Linked DNA regions of Oryza sativa Japonica Group. The protein of the gene in region 2 interacts with the protein of the main gene of each other region in a pairwise test. Links are inferred from orthologs where the notes say so. Each region holds a gene or a part of one and is shown on either strand. Other genes may lie near its edges.

Region 1 (6,841 bases), on a different chromosome or scaffold from region 2:
GCCAGCTCTGTATCGTTTTGAGTTAATGTTTATGGTGGTACCGTGTTAGTACTGTTTGTTTGAGTTCATGTTTATGGTGGTAGTACTGTTTGATATGTTGTTGTATGATAGCTAGATGGTGGCATGGTGACTGATTTTTAGCTGTTTTGTTATGTCATGGAATCCATACATCCGCTAAAAGATCTATTGTGGACTGTTTGAGTATAGATCGATGAGTTTATTCTTGACAAGTGTTTGATGCTTTTGTACTTATGCTGAGCTCTATGCAATTGCAAGTCTTGCTGTGTTGTGGTCGTTAGTGGAAGAAGCCCTATGTATATTGCCTCCTGTCAGAGTGAAAACAAAAATACTAGTAGGAATGAGCTATGCATTATCCGTTTCGGATTCTGCAACTATTGCACGATTGTTTATGGTTCTTTAGAGCAATTGATGTATTCTATAATTATTACTCGGTGATAGATGGGAGGCTGACTTGTGAAATTGTTACTTGACTTACATTGCATTCTTGTTTTCCCGTGTTCATGATAGCAGAAAGTGGCAATTCCTTGGTAAACCTTCGTATTTTGAGTTTTTTAAATGATCTTAGTTTTTTGTGGCTACATTTATGGATATTGAAATGGTTAACTTTGGACTAGTAGCGGATCTAGAAGTTCTCTTGAGCTTGGGCAAACCTAAACGAATGGGCTAGATTATAGGATTAATAAGTATTATTTTTTTGTCAAAAGTAGATAATGGCTGTTGGAGAACTGTGTAGCTTTGGCCTTAGGCTGATGGCAGCAAACATTGGTGTGAGGCTGTGTCTTGACTCCTTTGTTGCTTGCATAGCTGATTTAGCCTCTATTAAAAGAAGCAGATTAAGCAGGGGCATTAAGTGGTAATCCACTGGCTAATACGGTGGAGCCCGGGCACCTGCCCGTGGTGGCCGGGCCCTAGCTCCGCTGCTGCTTTGGACAAATTTAATTTTCTTGCTGGCAATGATACCATAATGTGCCAATGCTTATTTACAATCATAGCGCCTTTTATTTTTCCATAGCATATGCTATTGTTTTTTGATATAGATAAAGGTCTAAATTGGGTCGTTAAATTAATATTAATGAAATTTGTCACCAAGTTACTACTGGTGACAACTGACAATTAATCGCTGTTACTACCGGTGACAACTGGCAATTATTCGCCTACTTTGTTATTTAATTTTACAAGAGGGAAATATGGGAAAAGATTGGTTAAATTTTGGGAGGGATAGGTCAAGGGTATAATGGCATGTTGGATGATACCTTTTATGCGTTTACTCATGTGTTACCGTATTTGGTCCAATATGGAATATCCATGCACAAAACCTTTTTTTTCTTTTGTCCTGTAGCATGAAATGAACCTATTTATCATGTTGGTGATATCATCAGTACGGCTCCTTTTGTGTTTATGTTCTGTTTTGGCTCTGCTCTTCTTCAAGTTGTAAATAAAAGATACTTGAATGTTGGTTCAGCTTTTCTTTTTATGCTTGAATTAGTGATTTCTCTTTGTTGCCAAACACATATCTTTAGTTTTGATTTCGCACACTGCCTACTTATATTGTCTTGTTTGGCAGCTCGATTTTACTGTACTCAAATACAAAAACCAAAAGCTCTCAGAGCAACTAGAAGCCCACAAGTTTGAGTATCGTGCTCTTGAAAATAAATTCGCTGGGCTAAAAGAGAAGCAGAGGACTCATAATGAGACACTTTCCTTGGTCAACAGTTCTTGGGAACAAGTAAGCTATTATTTTGTGCATGTTTTACCAAAAAAGACAGACTTTATAATGTTTCTTCCTGAATCCCTTTATTTGATCAGCTTGTGGCAGACCTGAAGTCAAGATCTTTTTGCAAAAGTGGATCTCCTAATTCCAGCCCTGGTTCAGGGCACAACAATGTACAAAAGGGTATGACTTCCTTTATTTTCTAAAAACATCCCAACTACATTTTCCTAGACAGGTTTTGAAATATGGGAGTGCCATCTACTCCCTCTGTCTCCTCATATAAGGGATTTTGACATTTTGCTTGCACTGTTTGACCATTCGTCTTATTCAAACATTTTTGGAATTAGTTTTTTTGTGACTTATTATCCAAAGTACTTTAAGCACAACTTTTCGTTTTTTATATTTGCACAAATTTTTTTGAATAAGATGAGTGGTCAAACAGTGCAAGCAAAATGTCAAAATCCCTTATATTATGGGACGGAGGGAGTATTTAAGTAGCAAATGATTATCACTATGGAAAAACCTTTTGATCTGGTCATCTTTGTGGTCCATTGCTCTTGTGGCAATTGTTTAAGATAATGCTGCTTGGTTGCAAAAACTGCACTTTTCAGATTATGTAATAAGTTATAAGTTATTTATGTTAATGAGCTTGATATGCATTTTAACGATGGCCGCTCCTATTCTTTTCCATAGTTGCCTATCAGGTTAACTATAAACCTTCTCTTTTCAGATGGTACTTGTGCACCCATAGAGAGGGACACTCTTAGAAGTCTTGTGGAATCTGGTGCAACTGAAAGTTCAGGTTGTTTGCCTGGTTGCCACTTGGGAAGTGATGCCCCTCCATTACATCTATCCACAGCTAATGCTCTTGGGGATATCTTTTTTCCATCAAGTGATCTTTTGCAAGCAAATGAGGAGTGTGCTTTGGCTGCTCTCACTAAATTACCAGAAAATGGTTCGTCTTCTAGTTCATATATTCTGTTAACTAGTACTCCCTTCGACCCATAAAAAACCAACCTAGTTTTGGATGTGACATATCCTAGTACAACGAATTTGGACATATCTCTGTCTAGATTTGTTGTACTAGAATGTGTCACATCCAGTCTAGATTCGTTTTTTGTTGGACGGAGAGAGTATAGCTTTCAGTTGTACTAATACAAAAGAAGTACTAATTTCATCCATGTTCTGTAGACCGCAGTAAGCAACTACAGAGTACTAGTAGCAACCTGTTGTCCAGCCTCAATAATGTCGTACAAGCATTAAGTAATCTTCAGTTGAAGCACAAGCAGTTAGCAGAGGATTATCAAAATCAAAGAGATTCCAGTGCCCGAAAAAGAGCTGAACATAGACGTCTAAAAGGTATCTTGTTTAGAGATTGTGCTGATGTTTCTTTACAGTTGTTTTAACTTTCAAATAAGCATCCATGCCATTTAAAGGAACATGTTTCGCAACATTTGAGACCTGCTATACATCTTGAATTATCAAACATGTTGCCATCAACTCCTATCTATCCTCCCTACGCATTAACCAGCAATCTTCTGGAGAGCATTCTTGCGATAATAGGCTGTACTGTTGCAGTACTCTTATATTTACTGCGCCAGCGCTTCAGACTTGTACCATATTTTCCCTATACATTTTTTTACCTAGATACGTTGTCCTAATACATTGGGTAAAACTAACCAGATGTTTTGGTTTACTTTGTCAAGAGGAGTTGGCCAGTGCTGCTTCTGAGTTGGAAGAAACTAACTACAAACTGGCAGCACTTAAAGCTCAAAGAGATAATACACAAGGAGCTCGAATCCCATATCCTACATTAGGAAACAAAAATATGCCTGAAGATAAGGTCAGAGATAAACAAAGAGAGATGCAGGATCTTGAAGCTACTCACAAGGAATTATCGGTAACTGCCATCGTTCATTTTTAAAGTTCCAAATTACTACTTCCTCCGTTTCACAATGTAAGTCATTCTAGCATTTCCCACATTCATATTGATGTTAATGAATCTAGATATCTAGATTCATTAACATCAATATGAATGTGGGAAATGCTAGAATGACTTACATTGTGAAACGGAGGGAGTACCTGTGATATGTATGATCTGACCCAATTATCAACCAGGAATTGATTTCAAAGCGGTTGGTGGAAATTAAGAGATTACATGAAGAGAGAATTGAAATTTTGAACAAAATAGCAACTTTTCAGGTTTGTTGATTGGTCAAGCACAGAATGCATCCTTGCTTAGCCTTGAAGGCCCATGCTTAATATTTATTGCATGGGAGAATTTTTTAGTATCAGAACCTGTATGACTAACTTTGTGTGTGTGTTTTTAATCTCCTCCAGAATATCTTGATGGATTTCAAGAGCATTCGTTCTTCAAAAGCTTTTCAGCTTGTTAATGATCGACTTCAGAAGTCACAAGCAGAATTGGATCACTACCAGACATTATTAGAGAAATTACAGGTGGTTACTGGTCAGTGGATTTGTTGGATTCCAGAGTTGTATAGCAAAAATGTCTCGCTAGAGCATTTGATCTTTTGTTGAATTCCTATTTGATATGTTTCAGGTTGATAAGGATAAGTTTGTGTGGCAAGAAAGGCAATTTAATTTGAAAGTTGATCTGGCTGAGATTCCTGAGAGGGTTTCTACATATTGTGAGTCTAGCATTGCTGATCTCAAGAAGGATATTCAGAAACTATGTGATGAAAAAAACATGCTTATTCTCAAACTTGAAGAGGCTTCAAGAGAACCTGGTGCGGTAGTTACTATTCACTTTACCAAGAGTAACTTTCAAACTTGTCTTGCTAAAGCAGGTAATAAGGAATTGTTTGCACTTGTCAGGTCGGAATCAAGTTATTACAAAATTTAAAGCTTTAGTGTCATCGATACCAAGGGAAATGGGCGCGATGCAGAGTGAAATGACCAAACACAAGGAGGCTTCCTTGGAGTTGAATTCTTTGCGAGCAGAAGTCCATTCACTTTCTCGCATTCTGTCCAGAAAGGTAAATTGCTTGTTATTGGCTTGCACATATGACTCGCAAGTGTTATGGCATTGATTCGCCAATGTGTCAGGCTGTTTATTTTGTTTTATAGGAACGTGATAATGAAGAAGCATCATGCAGATCTGCCCGTGCGGGATCTGATATAACACAACTTCAATCAGTGGTATCTTGTTTGTTTAGACTCAGCTTATTTTTTCTCTTCATTAAGGTGTTTTGTTTAGCTATTGCAGGAATTTGTCCTCCCATGATAATTTGACATATTGAAACCAAAACCCTGTAGATTTCTGATCTGAAGCAAACTAATAAGGAGCTTAAGTTGTTCGCGGATATGTATAAGCGTGAATCCACTGATTCCAGGTATTTCAATTTTATATCATATATAATTCTCAACACAACTTTTTTTTTTGGCTAAGACTTGTGATATTTTGTAGAGATAGATGCATCTCACTTCTTAGGACAGAGTGCAGTGTAATGCCGTGTTTAATTGTTTACCTATCATGTATTTAATTCATTGCACGGTCACTCTACTATGGCCATGACATTTCATCACTCATCACCAGTAACTTAAGTTTATTTATTTTGTGATGGAAATAACCTTTTTTTGTGTGTGTGGCAGGGAAATAATGGAATCCAGAGATAGGGAATTCCTTGAATGGGCTCATGTTCATGCCCTGAAATCATCTCTTGATGAAAGTAAGCTAGAGCAGCGTGTTAAGGCTGCCAATGAAGCTGAAGCAATCACACAGCAGAGGCTAGCAACTGCAGAAGCTGAGATTGCTGAATCAGGGCAGAAGCTTGGGACTTCTAGAAAGTACAGAATTATGCTTCTGAACATTGTTTCTCTTAGAACTGTTGAAGTAGGGGTCACTTCTCTTTTAGGGTTACTAAAGGAAATTGATGCTTACTGCTGAATGTTCACTGTGTTCAGGGATCTAGTCAGTTTATCCCATATGCTGAAGTCTAAACAGGAAGAATGTGAAGCTTACAGAGTGGAGGTCGAGGTGTGTGCCATCTTTTATGCATGCAGTTCAAGTATGGCTTTAAACATATATTAAACATTGTCATCCTGAGTTTGAAACTTTTACTAACCTATTCCAGTGTATCGGGCAAGCATATGAGGACATACAGGCACAAAACCAACAATTGCTACAGCAGATTATTGAAAGAGATGATGATAATACCAAGGTAGTGACTCAATGATTTCTTTAAAGCTATTATCTCAGATAATCCTCTCCCAAGCTTATAGTTTTATAAGAGTTCCCATTTACCACTGTACCAAATCTGGTTGCACAAATAGCTTTCATGTTTCTGATATATTCATAGGATGTTAGATTTGGTTATATTGTTAATTTGATTGTTCCGGAGACTCAGTACTTCATTGAAAAGCTGTTTACTTGCGTTAAGTTGGTGATGCGGAATTTCATAAAATAGGCCAAAGTTCCAAACCCTTGTGGACAGCAACTACTGGTTGCCAAAAAAAAATCCTTGTGGATTCCTGGATGAGTATTGCCTGCCCTTTATTTAGATATCTTTTTGAAAAGAAAGTTAGAACATTTTTCTAAATGACCATCAACAGTTTTTTTTTTGGGTAAATGGTGTTGTTTCAAGGTCAAAGAACCAGAGAAAATCAGGACGACTGCGCCTTTTAATAGTAGAGATAAATTGAAAATTTTTAGCCGTGCTATTTGTACCATAGCTCCTTACTCTTTGGAGTGCCCTTGATAATCCAGGCAGCCTATCCAAGGGTCCTGAACTCCTGATAAATCTACAGTTCCAGTGATTGTGTATGTTTTGATCCAAAATTTTAGTTTGATGTTTTATTGAAATTTTACTGATAGTAAAGCTTGTTTACTTCGGATGTATTGAATAAGAAATGTGCTAACTCTGCATTTGGTATTTCAATCCCATTGAGGAATGGAAGCTTTAGGATGAATCAATCTGGTAGTAAACTATTTTTTCAGTAGTCGTAACATTTTTGTTTGGTGAAATCTACACTGCAGATTTTTATGGAGGGTGTTAAAGCAAAACAGACACAAGATGCTTTGCATTTGGAAACATATTCTTTGCGCAGAAACTTGCAGCAGGAAAGCTCTTTGATGGATCTGTACAA
Region 2 (7,075 bases):
CGTGGCATCGGATAGATCAACGCGAGATGGATGCTTATTACTGCGAATTTCAGGAGGTTTTTGTGGTTTTTTTAGGCGAGTAGCGTTGATTCTAGCTGGATTTTGCTGCTTCGTGGAGGCGTTTAGATGTGGTGCATACGGCTGTGGATGTAATTTGTGCGGGGATAATTACTGAAAATTAATTCGCAGTAAGCTAGCTCTGCTTTAATATTTTTTCCCCTGAAACAGTAACAAGGGATCCCTTCCTCATTTCGTTAACAGTGGAAGTGAATACAGACACCAACCGATGAGCAGAGACACCTGTAATTAAACACCAAAAGAAGAACCTGTTTTGTTCCTATATATTTTCCATTTCTATGCTTTAGGTAATATACTTTCTGGTTCGGTGTCATAGTACCCGAAATAGAATCTTTGCTTGCCAAAAAAAGAAAGAATAACAAGATAGAACAACATCATTAAATTCTGTCTTAGACAATACATTTATAATCGACCAACAAAAACAGACCGATGAGTGACGTGGAATAACAAATGAAGTATAAATGTCACGAAAAACACATCTATTGATTTTGTGTGATAAGCCATAGGAGCCTACGAGGAACCAAGTGAATGGTTCTGTACACCACATCCATTAGCATTACCATAAATTTGCCTATTTCTATGATGCCTTCCTTAACATATTTATCGACATGTGAGCTTGCACCATAACTAAATGTTATGGTAAACTTTACCTTATAAATGATTGCAACATGTACCTTTTCATTTCGATAATTAAAAACGAGAAAGCTTCCACCTTTTTCCTAGATATATTTTTTCGTTTGATTATGAATTTAGTTGTACTTGACAATAAAATAATGCGCTTGTAAGATTATGCAATTTTCGTTGCATTACCTCCCTCTCTTTTCATTTGTCAGTTTTTTTCTACTCCCTCCGTTTCATATTTTAAGTCGTTTGACTTTTTTCCTAGTCAGACTTTGTTAAGTTTGACAAAGTTTATAGTAAAATTTAGCAATATCTAAAATATTAAATTGGTTTCATCAAATCTAACATTGAATATATTTTGATAATATGTTTTTTTTGTGTTGAAAATACTTCTATATTTTTCTATAAACTTAGTCAAACTTGGAAGAAATTTCAGTAAGAAAAAAGTCAAACGGCTTATAATATGAAACGGAGGGAGTAAATTTTTTTTTGCATTAATTAAAATTCATGTATTTTCCTCCTTTTTTGGTTTTTGTTGTGCGATATATTACAGTGTAGAGACTCTGAAGCTCATATGGTTGGCATTGGTTGATATGATAACGTGTCACGTTGTGAGATGCAGACCCCCGTTATGGGGGTTGATTGAATGAAGTGGATAGCACTCTTATAACTTTCTTGCTCGAAGTTTCTTGATACCAAGGCAAGTAGCTTATAAGAAGATTTGGACTTTGGTGGCATAAATGGATGAACTAACTGGCGGCTTCAACGTGGTGTTGATTACAGGTGCTTTTATTGCTAACTGGAGCAGTTTGTGTAGTTTCTTTCTTTCTCTTTGAGAATTCTCTCAGTTTCTTGGGCAGGCTCTTGAGCTACCAAGTATGTCAGCTTCAAATGAGAAGTGGATTGATGGGCTCCAGTTCTCATCACTGTTCTGGCCCCCACCACAGGATTCACAACAAAAACAGGTAACATTATTCCTATTTGATTCTTGTTAGAAATTCTATATGTTGAACATACTTGCCTCAATGGGAAACTTGGTTGCGTCTCCTCTCTGAAGGCACAAATTCTGGCCTATGTTGAGTACTTTGGCCAGTTTACAGCTGACAGTGAGCAATTCCCTGAAGATATAGCTCAGGTACTGTATCTCTAAGCATGTTTAGTATCTTCTGTGATAAAATCTTTCTCCAGTGTGTTAACTTTTGCATTCTTTTTCTTGCATGCTTGCAGCTAATTCAAAGTTGCTATCCATCAAAAGAAAAGCGCCTTGTAGATGAAGTATTAGGTAATTTGATCCAGTGATCAATACATGTTCCACAAACAATTGAAGAAAGAGTTTGACATATTTTTCTCATATTTCCAGCAACTTTTGTTCTTCATCATCCTGAGCATGGCCATGCAGTTGTGCATCCGATTCTGTCACGCATCATAGATGGGACACTCAGTTATGATAGAAATGGTTTCCCGTTCATGTCCTTCATCTCTTTATTTAGCCATACTTCTGAGGTAAGGCCCCTACTCTAATGGTTAGTTCCAATTTATTGGTTCATTTCTCTGTGTTTGATAAGATTTTGCCTCTGCTGTGCATTTCAATATTATATCTAAACTGTGCTGCTTATAGCTTATCAAACTACTCTTGCTCATAAAGATGCAACTTTTATGCAGAAAGAGTACTCGGAGCAGTGGGCCTTGGCCTGTGGAGAAATTCTTAGAGTTCTAACTCACTACAACAGGCCAATCTTCAAAGTTGATCACCAACATAGTGAAGCGGAATGTAGCAGCACATCTGATCAGGCCTCATCATGTGAGTCTATGGAGAAAAGGGCTAACGGTTCTCCAAGAAATGAACCTGACCGGAAGCCATTGAGGCCACTATCTCCTTGGATCACAGACATATTGCTTGCTGCACCTCTGGGTATTAGAAGTGACTATTTTAGATGGTGAGTCATAATAAATGATAACATATTATTGTTCTGTGGACTGAAAATCTGAAATCCTCCTTTCTTGAGAAATACAACCTCAATTTTATGGTGATATTGACAAGAAGGAAGAGCGCATATAATTTAAAGTTAAAACACGGAAAATAATAGAAGTATGTGAGCAGAACGCAGGAGCAAGGGGTGGAACTCATAACAAGTTCAAACTTCATGCATGTTCATAATTCCCCAATGCAAGTATGGCAAGAAAAATAGACAACTTTTAAAAGTATGCTAATGGAACTGCATGCATTGTGTAAACTTGCTTTTGTCAAGCATGTTGGAACATACTATATATTTGCTGCTGATGATGAAAAATTTGCTTGAGTACTCTTCTATTGCTAATGGACGCTTACCATTCCCTGTTTTGTCTTCAAATGCATCAGGTGTGGTGGAGTCATGGGAAAATACGCAGCTGGTGGAGAATTGAAGCCTCCAACAACTGGTTGGTAAAATCAGCAATGGAATTTTCTATCGTGAATTTTTTATAATTATTGTAACATTAATTACTCCCATGTCTTTTTATTCTGTTGAGATACCATGTGACAATGTCTACAATTGCATATTTTGCATTCTTTGGTAGATCAGTTCCCTTCTTAAGATCCCCAAAGGGAAACTGGAGTATCAATAACTTACTCCCTCAAATAAAAAAAAAGTGATACTTTAGGCATAAACACATTCTTCAAAACAAAACTTTGAATAGCAGTTTCTTTTGTAATATATTAATAAAGCATGGAAAAATTATAATGTGAAGAATGTACATTCAGGGACAAATATACTCATCATTTTTGCATGGTTGATCTTAATGTCCATAGAGAGATTGATCAGACCAAAAGTTTATTTTTGACAGGAGTGAGTATGGATTATAATAGGAGTGAATGGCAATATGCTGTGAAAGTGAGCATTTTATATTTGTTTACTACTAGCATTTGGTGACAAAGCAAATGATGTATATTGTAAATCAAAGTAAACAAGTAGAACATGTCCTGTGGCGACAAGACATAACCTACAAATTAAAGTTAGCCTGATTGTTTATTTTACTGGGAGCACATTTTTTCTAGATTCTAGAGTACATATTATTAAAAAAGGTGTGATATGTTTGCAAATTACTTTTTAATGGAAGTTTGTAAATTACTTTGAAACTTGCATTCAGTTTTTTTGCTTCTTAAAAAACATAGTGCATATGGGCTTTATGAGCTCATACTATGCATGTTTTTCTGCATTGGAGTGGGACCTTTATCTTTTTCTTGCAACTCGGATGCTAATGCTTATTATAAACACAAGTTACTAACATGTGCTTGGGTCATTCAGCTTACAGCCGAGGATCTGGGAAGCACCCACAACTTATGCCATCCACGCCCAGATGGGCTGTTGCCAATGGAGCTGGAGTTATACTAAGTGTCTGTGATGAGGAAGTAGCTCGTTATGAGACAGCAAATTTGACTGCGGCAGCTGTTCCTGCACTTCTATTACCTCCACCGACCACACCATTGGACGAACATTTGGTTGCGGGGCTCCCTCCTCTTGAACCATATGCTCGCTTGTTTCATAGGTAAGCTCTTATGATCCTGTCCACTGTTGTACCATGTGTACTTTCCAAATGATTGCTAACATGCTATTTTTCGTCAGATACTATGCAATTGCTACTCCAAGTGCTACCCAAAGGTTGCTTTTTGGTCTTCTCGAGGCACCACCATCATGGGCCCCAGATGCACTTGATGCAGCAGTACAGCTTGTTGAACTCCTTAGAGCAGCGGAAGATTACGATTCTGGCATGCGGGTATATCATACATCTCTCTGGCTGTTGTTTCAGTGCTATCAATCAAGATGACACATCATGCAATATTATCATAACAGCACATTATGTGTTTTGAATATTTTATTGATTGTCATAGCTTTGTTTTATGTTTTAGCTTCCAAAGAACTGGATGCATCTTCATTTCCTGCGTGCTATTGGAACTGCAATGTCAATGAGAGCTGGTATCGCTGCTGATACGTCTGCTGCTTTACTTTTCCGAATACTCTCCCAACCGACATTACTTTTTCCTCCACTGAGACATGCCGAAGGAGTTGAACTCCATCATGAGCCACTAGGTGGCTATGTATCATCGTACAAAAGGCAGGTATGCAGTGTTTCCTGCACCTACTTGCTACCTATTCTGTATTTGATGTATTCAATTTCCTTTTTATCAGTTTTCTCGAAATATATGCTAATAGGCTTGTCACTAAACGGCTACATTATCCAGACTCTGTTCTGAATTTTTTTTTCATTAAGTACTGTTAGCTGCCAGATTACATCATCATGACTAAAGTAGTTTAGCTACAATATTGCAAAGCTAGATTTGTCTAGCCTCTATTGTTTTGAATAGAAAAGGCAGGTATGCAGTGTTTCCTGCACCTACTTGCTACCTATTCTGTATTTGATGTATTCAATTTCCTTTTTATCAGTTTTCTCGAAATATATGCTAATAGGCTTGTCACTAAACGGCTACATTATCCAGACTCTGTTCTGAATTTTTTTTTCATTAAGTACTGTTAGCTGCCAGATTACATCATCATGACTAAAGTAGTTTAGCTACAATATTGCAAAGCTAGATTTGTCTAGCCTCTATTGTTTTGAATAGAAAATTAAATCTTTTGGTCATTTTTTTGTAACCTTTTAGGAGTCTCTGTATGCTTGTCGTCAACATGCTATGATAAGTTTATATCAGTTCTTTTGGAGCTATGATGTATTCTTGTATATTTTATGACTGCTAGGATATTATGTTAAAACTGTTTTAAAGGTATCATCAAACAAGTTAATATAGATATTGCTACCTACCAAAGTTGGAATTTGATTATGTCGTAAAATATATGCACCCTACATGTTTTAGCTTCATATTGACTTATATTTTCATATGTGCTCCTTCAACTGCACAAAGCTGGAAGTTCCTGCATCTGAAGCCACTATTGATGCCACTGCGCAAGGCATTGCTTCCATGCTATGTGCTCATGGTCCCGATGTTGAGTGGAGAATATGTACCATCTGGGAGGCTGCGTATGGTTTGCTACCTCTGAGTTCATCAGCAGTTGATTTGCCTGAAATTGTTGTAGCTGCTCCACTTCAGCCACCTACTTTGTCATGGAGCCTATACTTGCCATTGTTGAAAGTATTTGAGTATTTACCTCGTGGGAGTCCATCTGAAGCATGCCTTATGAGAATTTTTGTGGCAACAGTTGAAGCTATACTGAGAAGAACTTTTCCATCAGAAACCTCTGAACAATCCAGGAAACCAAGAAGTCAATCTAAGAACCTTGCTGTTGCTGAACTCCGAACAATGATACATTCACTCTTTGTGGAGTCCTGTGCTTCAATGGACCTTGCGTCCAGATTACTATTTGTAGTATTAACTGTTTGCGTCAGTCATCAAGCTTTGCCTGGGGGAAGTAAAAGGCCAACTGGTAGTGATAATCATTCCTCTGAGGAGGTCACAAATGATTCGAGATTAACCAATGGAAGAAACAGATGTAAGAAGAGACAAGGACCAGTTGCTACATTCGACTCATACGTTCTAGCAGCCGTTTGTGCCTTATCTTGTGAGCTCCAGCTGTTCCCTTTTATTTCCAAGAATGGGAACCATTCAAATCTGAAGGACTCCATAAAGATAGTCATACCTGGAAAAACCACTGGTATCAGTAACGAGCTACACAATAGCATTAGCTCAGCGATTCTTCATACTCGTAGAATACTTGGCATCTTGGAAGCTCTGTTCTCCTTGAAGCCATCATCTGTTGGTACTTCATGGAGTTATAGTTCAAATGAGATTGTTGCAGCAGCTATGGTTGCTGCTCATGTTTCTGAGTTATTTCGTCGATCCAGGCCATGCTTAAATGCACTGTCTGCGCTGAAGCAATGCAAGTGGGATGCTGAGATTTCTACCAGGGCATCATCCCTTTACCATTTGATTGACTTGCATGGTAAAACAGTGACCTCCATTGTGAACAAAGCTGAGCCTCTAGAAGCTCACCTGACCCTTACACCAGTAAAAAAGGATGAACCTCCCATTGAGGAAAAGAACATTAACTCATCAGATGGTGGTGCATTGGAAAAAAAGGATGCTTCAAGATCACACAGGAAAAATGGTTTTGCAAGACCACTCTTGAAATGTGCAGAAGATGTTATACTAAATGGTGATGTCGCAAGTACTTCTGGGAAAGCCATTGCAAGTTTACAGGTGGAAGCTTCTGATTTGGCAAACTTCCTCACCATGGACCGAAATGGGGGTTACAGAGGTTCTCAAACTCTCCTAAGATCTGTACTGTCAGAGAAGCAGGAGCTATGCTTCTCTGTTGTCTCATTGCTCTGGCAGAAGCTCATTGCATCTCCCGAAATGCAGATGTCTGCAGAAAGTACATCAGCTCAT

Evidence for each region.
Region 1: the proteins of protein GIGANTEA (region 2) and E3 ubiquitin-protein ligase BRE1-like 1 interact in binary tests that used the Arabidopsis thaliana proteins (3 or more experiments, as listed by UniProt). The link is inferred for Oryza sativa Japonica Group from reciprocal best matches to the Arabidopsis thaliana genes GI and HUB1.

The regions. Positions count from the first base shown.
Region 1 is NC_089038.1:28,057,732-28,064,572, reverse strand, and holds part of E3 ubiquitin-protein ligase BRE1-like 1, read left to right. Parts: intron 1-1,585; coding exon 1,586-1,747; intron 1,748-1,827; coding exon 1,828-1,915; intron 1,916-2,462; coding exon 2,463-2,687; intron 2,688-2,923; coding exon 2,924-3,091; intron 3,092-3,438; coding exon 3,439-3,632; intron 3,633-3,850; coding exon 3,851-3,934; intron 3,935-4,072; coding exon 4,073-4,192; intron 4,193-4,295; coding exon 4,296-4,482; intron 4,483-4,570; coding exon 4,571-4,731; intron 4,732-4,822; coding exon 4,823-4,894; intron 4,895-5,011; coding exon 5,012-5,088; intron 5,089-5,347; coding exon 5,348-5,542; intron 5,543-5,659; coding exon 5,660-5,732; intron 5,733-5,829; coding exon 5,830-5,916; intron 5,917-6,731; coding exon 6,732-6,841. UniProt on the Arabidopsis thaliana protein: E3 ubiquitin-protein ligase that monoubiquitinates H2B to form H2BK143ub1. H2BK143ub1 gives a specific tag for epigenetic transcriptional activation and is also prerequisite for H3K4me and maybe H3K79me.
Region 2 is NC_089035.1:4,341,534-4,348,608, reverse strand, and holds part of protein GIGANTEA, read left to right. Parts: intron 1-1,252; 5' UTR 1,253-1,482; exon of another isoform or gene 1,483-1,559; 5' UTR 1,560-1,577; coding exon 1,578-1,664; intron 1,665-1,756; coding exon 1,757-1,834; intron 1,835-1,926; coding exon 1,927-1,981; intron 1,982-2,059; coding exon 2,060-2,202; intron 2,203-2,361; coding exon 2,362-2,636; intron 2,637-3,058; coding exon 3,059-3,117; intron 3,118-3,983; coding exon 3,984-4,224; intron 4,225-4,301; coding exon 4,302-4,452; intron 4,453-4,585; coding exon 4,586-4,795; intron 4,796-5,593; coding exon 5,594-7,075. UniProt on the Arabidopsis thaliana protein: Involved in regulation of circadian rhythm and photoperiodic flowering. May play a role in maintenance of circadian amplitude and period length. Is involved in phytochrome B signaling. Stabilizes ADO3 and the circadian photoreceptor ADO1/ZTL.